2 linked regions of the Caenorhabditis elegans genome follow. The protein of the gene in region 1 interacts with the protein of each later gene in a pairwise test. Each region holds a gene or a part of one and is shown on either strand. Other genes may lie near its edges.

Region 1 (7,638 bases):
GGATTTTTTAAATTTTTTCTTCAATTTTCCCATAAAATTGCAGAAAATTGCCAAATTTTCCCAAATTTTTACCTGAATACAGGTCTGAGTCTTGCCGTCCATCTTGCTTGGCGGACGGTAGTCGGCGAAGCACACATCCCAGCAGCGACCGGTGAGCGTGTGCACTTGTTCGGTGAATTTTTGACGCTGCGTCTCCGCCTGCAGTTGCTGGAGGAATCGATTGAGTTGAGGGTCGGCCGAGTCCATTTCCTGTGAGAAAAACTATAGATTTGATGGGAATTTTGAAAAAAATTGCAAAAAAATCGCTGAAAAATGATGAAAACCCAACGAAAATGATGAAAAAATAAAATAAATTAATTTCATCGCAGAGTGCGCAAGCAACAAGAGAAATGCGCCAGCAACCTCTCCTTGCGCATTCACAGTTTTCGGCGGTTTTTCAAATGATAATTAACTTCGAAATGATTTTTCCGGAAATTTCCCAGTATATTTTGCAGTATTTTAAACAAATTCCCGTCGATAATAATCAAATTTTGTAAATAAATATTTATTTTATTCATTTAAACCCATAACTATTGATTTTGAGCACCAAGTGGCCCTTGCGGGAGCATATATTGGGGGAAATTCAAAAACGGGGGGTTTTGAACGAATTGCATCAGGTTTTTCAGCTCCCCTTCTTTCGCTGAAATTCGTTTTTCCAGCAGAAGTCGCTCACTTTGTAGTCGGAGCCAAATCTGGAAAATTGATAGTAGCTGTAGTTGAAAAGTCGATAATTTGAATTAAAACCGTGTTGCAAGTGCGCTCTATTGATAAAAACTAGTTTTTAGCGATGATTTATTGATTTTACCATTAAAAATCGATAATTTTCACATACATCTTGATAACCAGGTGATAACATGTCAAATGGGTTCATTCCAAGTGTCGGAATCGGTTGAATTAGTGACGTGGACGGATGGATTACTGTAGTTGGGCTCAAAGTGCTTCTCGGAGTTGGAATAGTGCTAGTTTGGCTGAAAATTTACATAGTTTTGCAAGTTTTTTCAGAAAAATTAGAAAATTTTTTTTTTTTGAAAAAATCAATAAAATCTTACATGTTAAGAATTTTATTAACATTTTTAACTTTCGCACGCTTAGAGCTTCGGAAAAACTCCGAAATTATGTCACTGACACAGCTGAAACCAGTGCTACAGTACCCCACGTGACGGGACCCAACTTTTGAATAAATTTGTGAAAATTTGAACCCGGGCATGATGGGGGTCATTTGAAAGGTCTTGTTGAGCTAAATTTGAAATTTTCAGTTTTAAGGGTCTCGCATGGATTTTGGAGTAGATTACTGTAGGTTTTAACGTTTTTTTTTGTTAGAAAAAACCTCTTTTTCCCAATTTTCGCCGATTTTTGTGAATTTCCATCCGACTTCTCATCATCCAACGGATAACTTTCCACTATAACATTCATCGATCGTAGTCTCTTCCGTTTTGTGGGTACTGTAGGTCGGCGGGTTACTGTAGGTTTCACATTGGGTACTGTAGACGAGGTGGAGGAGCCCGGCGAGAGGAAGGAGCTTGGGGAGCTCTGGAATTCAACAAATAGTGTTAAATAATTTTTTAGAAAAAAAAGTTCCGAAAAAAAAAATTTCAATTTTTTTTTTCTCAAAAAGTTTGAAATTTCCCGCCAAACTATTAATTCTTATTAATAACTTACCACTTTCACACAATTATCCTCTTTTCGCCTCAAAAGTGCCGCCAAAATCGGGCTTTTCACCTCCAAACTCGACGGCGGGGGCGGTGTCTTCTGAAGGGGCGAAGCTAAAATGGGCGGAGCCTTGGGTACAGTAACCGGGAGAGCTGGAAGCTCATCAGGCACACAGACTAAAACTGTTTCCGTGGGTTTCTGGAAAAATTTTGATTTTTAAAAATTTCTAGGAATTTTTGAAATTTTGGAAAAAAAAATTTTTTCAATTTTTTAACAACTAATTTTTTTGGTTAAAATCACGATTTTGAGCCAAAACTCGTACATTTTCAAATTAAGCACGTCCAGAGCTTCAAAATAAGGCCCATCATGCCTATATTCCGTGAATGATTAAAATTTCGGGTCCCGCCGCGAAAACTTTCTGGGTTACTGTAGTTTGGTTGTTTTTACTGGTTTTACCAGGTTTTGCAGGTTTTCTGGGTTGCTGAGAGTAAAATTGTGATTCTCAGCTAAAAAAAAATTGACAAAATAAGTTTTTTTTGGTAAAAAATTTTGTTTAAAAAAATTTTTTTTCACAAATTTTCGAAAATCTGTAACTTTCTTAGTTTTCACTATTTTTTCTTAATTTTTTTCTTCAAAGTTAGCTCAGTGATCACACTTTTTTGAAAAAAATTGAAAAAGTTAGTTTCATTCAAAACTACAGTAACCCTGCCAGTTTTCGTGGCGGGACCCGGAAAATTCCCCCAAAATTGCGGGAACCTAGGCATGATGGGTGTCATTCAAAAGCTATTTACACGCCAAATTCAAATAAATTAGTTTTAAAGCTAAATTTTTCGAATTGTTCGAATTGAAAAAAACATTTTAATCCCAAACCTCCGCCGATTCCTTTATTCTGCACGTCATTGACTTCGCCATGAAGCTTTTGAGTTGGAGCTCATTGAGCATTTCTTTGGAAGTGAGAAATGACAGTTTGGACGTTGAATCGTAGTCCAGAAAACATCGGATATCTTTTCCAATCATACGTTTCTGAAAAAAAAAATTTCATTAAAAAATTTTTTTTTCTTTTTTAAATATCTCAAAAACTAAAACAGCTATTAAAAAGTTGTTAACTAAAAAAGTGTGTAGAATTTCAAAATGAACATTTTGTTAGTTGAAAACTTTTTGATAACCATGAAATGGGCGGAGTTACGGAAGGCAGCAGCTACGCCCATTTAATGGTTACTAAAAAGTTATCAACTAGCGAAAAATTCAAATCTTTTGCAAAAATTTTGACAAAAATTGTTAGTTTACAACTTATTTCTAGAATTTCTAACTTTAAAAAAATTTAGTTTAACAAAAAAAAAAAAATTTTTCAGAAAAAGTCCAAAAAAAAAAATTTTTTTTGAAACTTTTTTCGAAAACTTTCTAAATTTTTATACTATCTAAAATGTTATAAAACATTTTCCAACCGAAAAAATCCCAATGATTCACCAAATCCCCCCCCCCCCACCCCCGGTCCACCACCAGTTCACCTTGAAACAAGTCAGCTGACACACAGTCCGAAAAAATCGAATTTTTTTTGGGAAAAAGTGACCTTGATAATATTTCCCCGAAAATATGACGACATTTTGTTTACAAGGAACATTTAATTGGGGACGCCTGTATGGGAAAAAATTTGGAAAATTAAAAATTATAAAAAGATGAAATCCCACAAAAAAAATTTTGGGATTTTTTTTTTTCAAAAAAATAAACTCAAATATCTTCAAATCTAGAAAAGCTAGAAAAAAATTGTCAACTGAAAAAATTTGCAGATTTTTTTTCATGGTGAAGCTTTTGTCGGTTGAAAATTTTTTGATAGCCAATAAATGGGCGGAGTTACTGAAGCTTAAAGGTTGCTACCATTTAAGGGTTAGCAAAAAGTTGTCAACTAAAAAAGTGTGCATTTGATTGTCACGCCCGTCTGGGACAAAATTTGGAAAATTTTACAAAATTAAATTCCAAAAAAAATGTTTTGAGAATTTTTTTTCCCATTTTTTCTAATAAGCCTATGCCTAAGCCCAAGCCTAAGCCTAGGCCTAATCCTAAACCTAAGCCTAAGCCTACGCTTAAGCCTAAGCCTAAGCCTAAGCCTGAGCCTAAGCCTAATCCCAAAAAAATGTTTGAAGCCTAAGCCTAAGCCTACGCCTAAGCCTACACCTAAGCCTAACAATTATTTTCAGAGGCCTGTAACTCTGCCCATTTAATGGCTTTTTGAATTTTTTTTTAAATCGAAAAAAAATCAATAAAACAAACTTTTTCAATATCAAAAACTGCCTGATGGTCTCCCTTAATATCCACGACAATAAAATTGTTCAGAAAAACCATAAAACAGTTGGTCAGGCTGAAAATATCCTGGACGAGCGGGTCGGAGAGCAGCGGTGGTTCTGGAAAATGGAGGAAATTGAAATTGACTGAAAATTCCGAAAATTTCGAGATTTTCAGCTTAATGGCTTTCAAATTTGAGTTTAGCTCAATGATTGCTTTAAAATGACACCCAACATGCCTTGGTTTGAAGGTAATTTGAAATTTTGGGTCCCGCCACGAAACGGATCAGGGTTACTGTAATAGGTTGAATTTATATTTTTCTCGGGAGGAAATAGAGTTGTTTTACCGAGTTTTAGAGTAAAAAACAAAGAAAAAAGCTTTGAAAATCGAAAATTTAGGAAAAAAATTTGCAAAAAAAAAAGAAAAAATTTTCGAAATTTTTTTTCAAATTTTTTTCCAAATTTTTTCAAAATTAAAAAAAAATTCCAAATTAGAATATTATTACTAATTTGAATCTGTAGACTCACTATAATCACTATTCCGAATAATATCAACAGTACTCCCAATGATAAAGCATTTGTCCAGCTGACGAGGCTTCTGATCCACTCTTCGCAGCTTATGAGCCCGAATATCTTCGGGCAAAAGTGTCGACATTTCACAAATCACTTCATTCATCTCTTCCCTTCGTCGTTTTTCATGCTTACTTCGTGTTTCTCGCTTTTGAATAGTTTCTTTCCGAGTTCGCGGCTTTTTGCAGCTCTGCGGGGAGTCGGACATTCTGAAAAATGTACTATTAAATTTTAAAAGCTTATATCTCGGTTAATATTAAAGGTAGGGAGAAATGTTAAACAACAAAGTTATAGAGAAAAACATGATGAACATTTTGTCAGTTTACAACCTTTGGCTCAATATTAACCGAGTTATGGGCTGTCAAAGTTAGGAAAGGTCGATGCAACATGTCTAACTCTAACTTTGACGGCTAGTATCTCTGTTAATTTTGGAGATATGGAAAAGTGCTCAACTACAAAGTTATAGAGAAGTTCATAATGAACATTTTATTAGTTATCGATTTTTTGATAAAAACAATGACAACTGAGATATAAGCTGTCCAAGTTTTTGATCGATGCACCATGTCCAGTTCAACCTTTGAAAGCATATATCTGTTGAGGATATCAATAAATTTATATTAATAAAAGTATATACATAACCAAATTGTAATAAAAATTAAATTTTCTGATGAAAAGACATTTTTTTGAACTTTTTAAATTTTTTTCAAGGATTAAAAAAAAATTTCAAAAAAGTTTAAAAAAAAATTTTGGTGAAAATTCAAATTTTCTAACTTGACAAATATGTACTTTTCATTGTTTTTTTAAAAAAATTTTATTGTAAAAAATGTGTTATTGCCCTAAAGTTTCAGAAAACCCATTTAAATTTTAAATTTTTGAAAAATTTACTGAAAAATGAAATTTCTTCGGTAAAACTGTAGTATCTCAAAGAATAATTGTGCAAATTGCTTGACATTTTGTCAGAATTAGCGTTAAATATATTTTTATTTTTCTTTCAGAAAATATCAAATTTTTGATTTAAACTTTTGGAAAATGCAAAAAAAAAAAATTTAAAAATTAAAAAAAAAAATTTTCAACATTTTTATTTTCTCAATTAAAACCTAAATTTCTCAAAAACTACCAAATGAATTTTGGTGAAATTTTACCAAAATTTGCGTTAAAACTTTATCTTTCAGGCAATTTACTTTAAAATTTGACAGTTCATTTGAGTCCAAAGTTATAAGACCTCAAAGTAAGCCTACGTACAAAAATTATTTACCGAGTTGTATAAAACTTTTGTCAAAAAAAAAAATTTAGAAAAAATCGGAAAAGTGATCAGATGGCAAAAATGAATGGTCTCCGCCGTCTTCATCGCCCCCAACACTCGAAATTGCCGCATTTCTGCGTCTCTTTGATTGTGTGTACTCTCTCGTGTGCCTCGGAATAAGTTGTGTGTGTGGGGGCAGCTGGTTAGGGGAGCGTTTTTTGTATGGCAGAAAGGGACTTTCAAGGTCACTTTCTTCATTTTTCTCCCTCTACGGCTTTCATTTCTGGTTACCCCGGCGGGGAAAACAATATTTTGTAAAAAAAAAATTTTTTTTTTGGAAAATTTTTTTCCGAAAAATCAATTTTTTTTTTGGAAAACCAACTTCAAAAACGAAATCCTCGCATAATTTCCCACTATTCACATTTTTTGCCGAGTCTCTAGCTCAACTTTTGATTTTCTCTGAGTACGGTAGCGCCAAAAGTACGCAAACACCGCCGCAGCTCCTACGACAAAATGCACAGCTTCTCAGGATTTGGTAGCTGAGCTTTGGAAATTGGGTTTCCGGAGTGAAAAGAGACGTAGAATTCATATTATTGATCGAAAATTTACAGTTTTGAATGAAAACCGAAAAAAAACTACACAAAAAGCTTCAAAACGTTCTATTTCGCCCACAATTATCAAATTTCAAGTAAAATTTCCAAGAAATTCGAATTTTCCTGCATTTTTTACCTCTTAAACCATTTTTCCCGATCTTCTAGCTCAAAATTTGATTTTCTCGGGGTAATGCACAACTTTCCAAATTTCAATGTTCAGGCTCCAAAAATCGGGCCCCCGAAAAAATTGAATTTCTTCGAAATATCGATTTTTCTCGTAATTTTTCGAAAATTTCATTGTCAAATTTGAATTTCCCGCCATTTTTCACCCGGGGAACCTATTTTCTAGAGTTTTACCTTAAAATTTAGAGTAACTGTGCATTTTGTCGTAAGAAATTTGGTGCTTGCGTATTTTCGGGCCTACAGTACCCCGAAAAATTTAAATTTTAGCTCAGAACCCCGGAAAAAAAGTATTCAGTGGTAAAAAGTGACGGAGAATCCGAATTTAACAATGAAAATCTTCAAAAATCAATAAAAATCCCGGAAAAAATCAATTTCTTAAAAATATTGATTTTTCTGTGATTTTTTTGAAAATATTGCTGTCAAATTTGAATTTCCCGTCATTTTTTAGCTCGGGGTCCCATTTTCTAGGGCTTTAACTCGGAATGTAAAGAAACTGTGCATTTTGTCGTAAGAAATTCGGTGTTTGCGTATTTTTGGTGCTACCGTACCCCAAAGAACTCAAAATTTTAGCTAGAAACCCAGAAAACCACGATTTAGAGGTAAAAAGTTACGGAGAATTCGAATTTGCAACTTAAAATTCTCCATAATCGTGGTGAGACCCAAGGAAATTCAAATTTTTGCGAATTAATAATAATTTATTACAAAAAAAGTCGTGGGGTCGAGATATGTATTGTATAGAAATCGCGAGAGATCACAAAAATGACACAAAAATCGATAATTTTCAGGAAAAAGTGGAAAATTGTGGAAAAATTGGGTAAAACGTTGATAAAAATGGCTCAGGGGGGGGGGGGGGAATGGAAACATTTTTGTACAATTATTAATACATTCGTTTTTTTTTTCGGGAAAAACTTTGAAAAATCGTTGAAAAAAAAAATCAATAAAATATTGTTTTTTTGGCATTTTTTAATACAATGTAAAAAATTGGGAAATATTACAATCGCAGGGGGAAAATCGATGAAAAATGTCGTAAAATTATTGATTTTTGGGAGATTTTTCAAGAGAAATTAATAAATTATCGATT
Region 2 (6,290 bases), on another chromosome or scaffold:
TTAAAAAAGTTCCAAAACACCTATTCTACACATTTTGAATTTTTGATCGTATGCTCACTCCTACAGCAACCCATTCTTCTCTTCAGTACTCTCCAATCGTTCCTTTCCACTGATTTTTTGTTTGATGCACGGTGTTTAACGATTCCTCTGACATTGGTGGCTCTGACACAATGAAAATGTGTGATGGCCTCGCTATGTGATGCCCGACCGCCTCTGTGGTTGTAACTCAGCGATTCGAAAACCAGTTTGAGTGGTGCCCTCGTCTCGCATGCGCTCATCACTTCGTTTTCGTCGTCGTCGTCGCCTACAGCGCCTATGTCGATTTGTCGATTCTATTGTGTGCAATAATGGTTGAACGACGAGTGAATCACGTTGGTAGAACGAATCCGATTTAGACAAGCGTGTGTGCGCACAAAACGATTTCATCTGAATTGGCTCCAATCGGGGTCGATTTATAGAGCGGAGAGGAGGTCGCACCATTTCATCAACTTCTTCCGTCGTCCAACCGTTCACAGAATTTAGGTCATCGCGAGCCGAAAGTGCGGGTGTACGTCTTTGCGGCCTCGACGGGTGACTTTACGGAGATATGCATTCGCTCCTTGGACATGAAGAAGGAGAAAGTCATGGATTGGAATAATATGCGCTACGGAGGAGTGAGAAAGATCACGGAGACGACTAATGCGCACTGTGCGCGAATGTTCCCATAATACCATAAACTCAGAGAGAAAAGACGACACGGATACTCTAACAGGATCTTCGGAACATTTAGTAATACGTTACTTTGAGTTAAAAAGAAAACGATAGCACATTTTTTAACTTTTCAAAAAAAACTCAAAACAACGAAAAAAATTCTACTCGAGTACTTTAACTGCTTAATTAGTCGATAATTTTTTGAAAACCATTCAAAAATTCTTCTAGATTTTGAGCAATACTTCCTACCATAAAATCTCAGAATGACGTATCCCAGGTCAAAACTTTAGAAGACCCTTTCACTCTCACTTCACATAATGCACAATTTGACCTTATTTCGGACACTCACTGGGCGAAATCGCGTGAGAATGAATTGGAGTCAAGAGCGTCTTGTAGAAGTGAACAAAGAATTAAGAAATAAGAAGGAGTTTCATTTTATAAGTACGGATAGTCAATGAGTGGAAGCAATGAGGACTCGTAAAGACGATTATTGTAATAAGGGGATAAAGAGTCTATACTATAGAAAAAAGAGAAGTCTGCAGACTTAAGGTTAAGTGTAGTGACGGAAAAGTGAAAAGTCGTATCAAAAAAGATGCACAATGATACCGTCAGACTGACGATGTGCTCGATTTTTATGGCTTCGGCTCCACCGGCAATATTTGCATACACCACACACACACACACACACACACACACACACACACACACACACACATTCTAAGCATTGTGCTGCGGTTTTATAATATCGGACACCTTACCACCCGCTTTCAAACCGGGATGCTTAGAAGGTGATAGAAGAAATGGTGTTAACAGCGCTCACACAGTTTTGTTGTTGGTTGCGCTCGCCGGGGCACACGACAACGGCGACAACGACGCGACGAGTACAGTTTTGTCAGTTGTGTGCATTGTGCATACAGGCGCTCAATACCCGGTATGGGAGAAAGAGAAAGGGATGGGAGAAGACGATGATGGAGAACAGGAGGTATGTACACTTCGGACGATGCTGAAAGTGAGGCAGGCGCCAACGCGTTCTATTATGAGCTCGTACAGGCAAAAATGTATTCGTAGAATAGAAGAAAAAGAAAGACATTGTGATGAAATATAGATTATTCAATTACAAGATTAGTTCGGACAGAAATACCAGAACTAAATGGAATTTTAATGTTTCAGGAAAATTATTGATTAATTTATATTTTTAGTTATTGTCGCTAATGATTTTAGAATTTAGATTTAAAAAATCTCGATAAATGAGCAAACCTGTCAAATGCGAAAATTAACCAATTTCCAGTATCAAATATAGAAATATTTCGAAAAAGGGTAGAGGATGATACTGAGAGAAAGAAAACGGACGGTTGCTCCGTGAACAGAAACATTCAAATCCTCCGTTCAACATATACTATCTCTCGTCGATGAAAGTAGCATCACCGTGTTGCTCGCATAAATGGAAAAGGGAACAGAGCGAACAAAAAATACGGACGCCGATGCAGCAGTTGGCTGCAGCTCTTGCTTCCTTTCTGCACATTTATGAGAGCGCCACGACGATTGATTTCATCGATCTCTTATGTACAGGAGAAGCACCGAAAAAAGGAGCTATATATGTCGAATTCGAAATGAGCATCGTGCGAAAGAAAGAGCTTGGAATTGAGAGATCATTGATAGAGTAGAGGTTTTAGGAGAAATATAAAAAAAATGTTTGCAGTGATGTTCAAGCTAGTCTATACTTCAAAAATCTGATTTCTAAGAGAATAGAAGTTATAGGTTATGTTGAATCCCTACATTTTAGGATCAAGGGTGTCGCTTTTTCGGTTTTTTTTGTTGGAAATTCAACAAATTTTGGTTTTTTGATTTTTCGAAATTTCTCAAAAATTGCTCGAAATTTCAGCGCCTGGGCTTTTTTTAGAAGGAAATTATATTTTCTTTTGTGTTTTATATTCAACAAAATTAAATTTTGATTTTTTTTTCGGAAAACCAAAAAAGTTCGTTTTTCGATTATCTCTCAAAAAAATTGGCATTTTTAGACAAAAAAACTAAAAAATTTATTTTTCGAAATTTATCAAAATTTAACAAAAATTGCTCAAAAAAAAGTTAGATTTTCGATTATTTCTCAAACAGAAAAATTGACATTTTTTAAAAGAAATCCTTGGTTAGCATCAGACCGCACTTTTTTTCGGATTTTGGAAGAGCGAAAAAACGGAAAAAATTTGTTTTCGATTTTCAGAAAAAAAGTTTTTATTGATTTTCAATTACACTTAAAAAATTGTAAAGTCCAAAAAAAATAATAAAATCTCGGTTACTTGTTTGAAAAAAAACTTTAATCAACTTAAATTTTGAATTCCGTATAAGAAAAGTGTTTTCAAATTTTTTTTCGATTTTTTCTTTAAAAAAAAAACGGAATTTTTCGTTTTTTTTTCAAAAGTGAATTTTTTTGGATTTTCTCAACAAAAAAAACCGACAATTTTTTCAGCGGCACCCTTGTTTAGGAAGTCGATTCGAATAATTAGGGGATACCAATGGTTAATATGGACCGAAAAAGGAATCAGAGGTACAATTGGAAGTTCTATGCAAAGTTTCAAACCAGAGAAAATGAGTAAATCAATATTTTAGATAATTTTTATAAATAAAAAAACTCACGCAATAACTGAGAAGATCGATCGTTGCTGCATCATCGTTCAGTTCGATGACCACAAATTTCGGCATCCCGGCCGGGTTCGAATCGTACGAAGACGACACCTATGTATATTATTTATATTATTAGGAATTACAAGAGCACGATAAAGATATTCAGAAATAGAAATAACTATTTAAATAAGAAAAAAGAAATTACCACAAATAATAAAAAGACCGACGATTTTATTGAAAATCGAGTAAGAACAAAATTTGCGTTGTAAAACTTAAAATTAAAAGAAAATATTATAAATATCAACGAAAAAAATTTAAAGAAACTATTAAATTTTTGCTTCTTTTCCATATTGATGATTCGGGAAACACTTTGCCATTGTATCCAGCCATTCTTTTCGTACTTCTGGTGTTCTGAAAAAAATTGACTTTGTAAGATTTTTTTATTTTGGAATGAAACGAATTAAATTCAGTTTTCAAATGGACATCGTCTGAATTGGATTTTATTCAAACATTTTTAATTTTTTTTAATGGAGCGATCTTGCGACAGAATTGAATTTAAAAAAAAAATTAAATATGCTCTTTTGAAACATTTTTAGTCTAAAATATGATCTAGAAAAAAAAATTTCTAAAATTTACATTTTATTCAAAATTTCAAATCTATTTTTGCGGGTTTATGCCAAAAATAAATTTTTGGCTTATCCTCACATTTGGATAAAATTACCATTTTAAATAGAATGGAAAAAAAAAATCTTGCGGTGCAGCTGCAACATTAGTAGCAATTTTCGTAATTTATAAAACAAATTGCGTACATTTTAAAATAATTATACAATTAAAACAGAAACCGGCTTTCATGCTTTTCGAGTGAGATTAGATAAAAAAAAATAATCTCAGTGAATTAGTGATTCAACTAAAAAAGAGCTGTCGCACAATTTTTAAAATCTTTAAAAAATAATTTTTTTAAAATTTTTTAAATTCAAAATAAAAACTCACATCATATTCACAGGTTCGTGTTCCGAATTGTGTTGTGATTGTCCGTGCTGCTTTACACGAACTTTTCGTACAGCTTGATATGGACATTGGGAACATTTGAATGGTTTATGAGTGGAGTGTTTCATCATTACGTGTTCAAAGAAATTCCATTTAGAACCACCAGAATTCAGGCGAATTCCAATTCCACAAATCTCACAAATCGCTGTGACTACATCTCCACAAACACTTCCAGAACTTCCACATGATTTCATTCGTTTTGGAGATGGGGAAACTTTTCCAAAAAGTGCCAAACCAGTCCGTATAGCTTCAGTTGCTAGTTGTTCTTCCAATTCAGCAGTTTGTTCATCAACTTCTTCACTAAATTCATCATCTTCGTCATTGCAAGGTTCCAGTTTAACTTCTACATCAACACGTTCCACTCTGAAATTGAAAAAAAATTATGAAATGAAAATTCTAATTTATTAATTCTACCTGCTCTTGATTGAATTCGTCATGTCCAATTGTGATACAGGGGAAACCGGCAATTCTTTGTTAGTTGGTGGAATTGGTGTTGACCAAAATGGTGTTCCATCTCGAGAAATCTCATCTGTTTCAGGTTCATGTTCATAGTTGGAATATTCTACCGTATCGAGTCTAGGCGCTCGAGGTATACCTGAAAAAACGGTTAAAATGTTTTATTTAATTTAAATAACAGCTGCAATTAAATTAATGTGATAATTTTCTGATGAGAAATAGGAAAATTGTTAGTTTCATCTCTCAATTTCCGTTTTTCGGTCATTTTTTAAATTTTTTAAACGAAATTTCTTCTTTTTTTAGTGAATCTAATTTTCTCGTTTTTGTTTCGTTTTTTAATCGATTTTCCGAAATTCGAAAAAAATCCGAAAAAGAATATATTGATTTATCGATTTTTCAATTTTCGTTGTTAAAAAAACCTAAATTTTTCTTTTAAAAAATAAAGAATTGTTCATAATTTCCGATTTTTTTTATTTTTTAAAAGAAGTTTCTTATTTTTCTCATCGAAATCAACATATTTTGGATAAAACAATAGTTTTCTCGACTTTTTTTCGGACATTTCTTTCATTTTTCTCGATTTTGCGATGTTTTATTTTCAGTTTTATCTGAAAAATACTGAGAATCAACAAAAAAAAACGGAAACTTTTTTGATTGTGACGAATTCGCTTTTTAAAGACAATTTGGGAAGTTTTTTACACTGACCAGTTCTGATAGACGATGCCACCATATCCGAACTTCCGATGTGCTGAAATCGAGAGAATCCATGATCAATCTGAAAATTATAAATTTTTTTAAAATTTCGTTTTGAACTAACATGAAACTTATTCTGCCTTCATTTGCTACCTGATTTAGCTTATAATAGTTAGAATCAAATAATTTCAAGCGAAAAGCTCACAAAAAGCTACACTCAACACACACACGCAACGCGCACACGCTCGCGCACCGCTCTTCACCCTGTTACTTCTCCAATGTCTCTTCGCTCACTATTTCTCTGCCTGCGCTCACAGTCGGAAACTCTAATTTCACGCAATGTTTCGGCGATTGTGAGCGTGAATTGAAGGGTGCTACCAACTAAATTTTTATTCTTCAAAGAAGATGTCACTGAATGAAGACGAAAATGAATGAAAAAACAGAAAACATTTAGAAATAACTTTTAGAGAAATGAAGAGCATGACAATCTTATTTCGATCCAATTCCAAAATTGGAACCAAAAATAATAATTTTTATAAAAAGTACTTACCAAAACCGATAATAGTCTTTTAAGTTCTTGAGGAGATGAAACATCAACGATCAAATGTGAGAGATATTGGTTTTGAGGACTGGGTAGCACCGATAAACGATTGCTCTTTTCATATGGACTTGCTGCACGACGTTTCCTATCATAATTGCTAACATTCGGATTCCGAATTGCTGATGGTGCTCTCGCCAATCTCACAGGCTCTTTTCGCAACAAAAATCCATTTTCTTTCGATGTTGAA

The links. Proteins that work in one complex are often made in the same cells at the same time.
Region 2: the proteins of hlh-33 (region 1) and lir-1 interact in a two-hybrid assay, tested with the Caenorhabditis elegans proteins (one large-scale study listed by BioGRID).

Annotation. Positions count from the first base shown.
Region 1 is NC_003281.10:1,852,501-1,860,138, reverse strand, and holds hlh-33 (BHLH domain-containing protein), read right to left. Parts: upstream 4,748-7,638; 5' UTR 4,747-4,747; coding exon 4,497-4,746; intron 4,089-4,496; coding exon 3,958-4,088; intron 2,713-3,957; coding exon 2,560-2,712; intron 1,888-2,559; coding exon 1,699-1,887; intron 1,570-1,698; coding exon 1,367-1,569; intron 1,008-1,366; coding exon 872-1,007; intron 732-871; coding exon 570-731; 3' UTR 536-569; downstream 1-535. Other genes in the region: ddp-1 (Mitochondrial import inner membrane translocase subunit Tim8), read right to left, coding at 73-246.
Region 2 is NC_003280.10:7,669,140-7,675,429, reverse strand, and holds the start of lir-1 (LIn-26 Related), read right to left. Parts: upstream 3,426-6,290; 5' UTR 3,388-3,425; coding exon 3,322-3,387; intron 567-3,321; exon of another isoform or gene 431-566; intron 1-430. Other genes in the region: lir-2 (C2H2-type domain-containing protein), read right to left, coding at 3,636-3,720, 4,300-4,719, 4,771-4,951, 5,515-5,584, 6,053-6,290.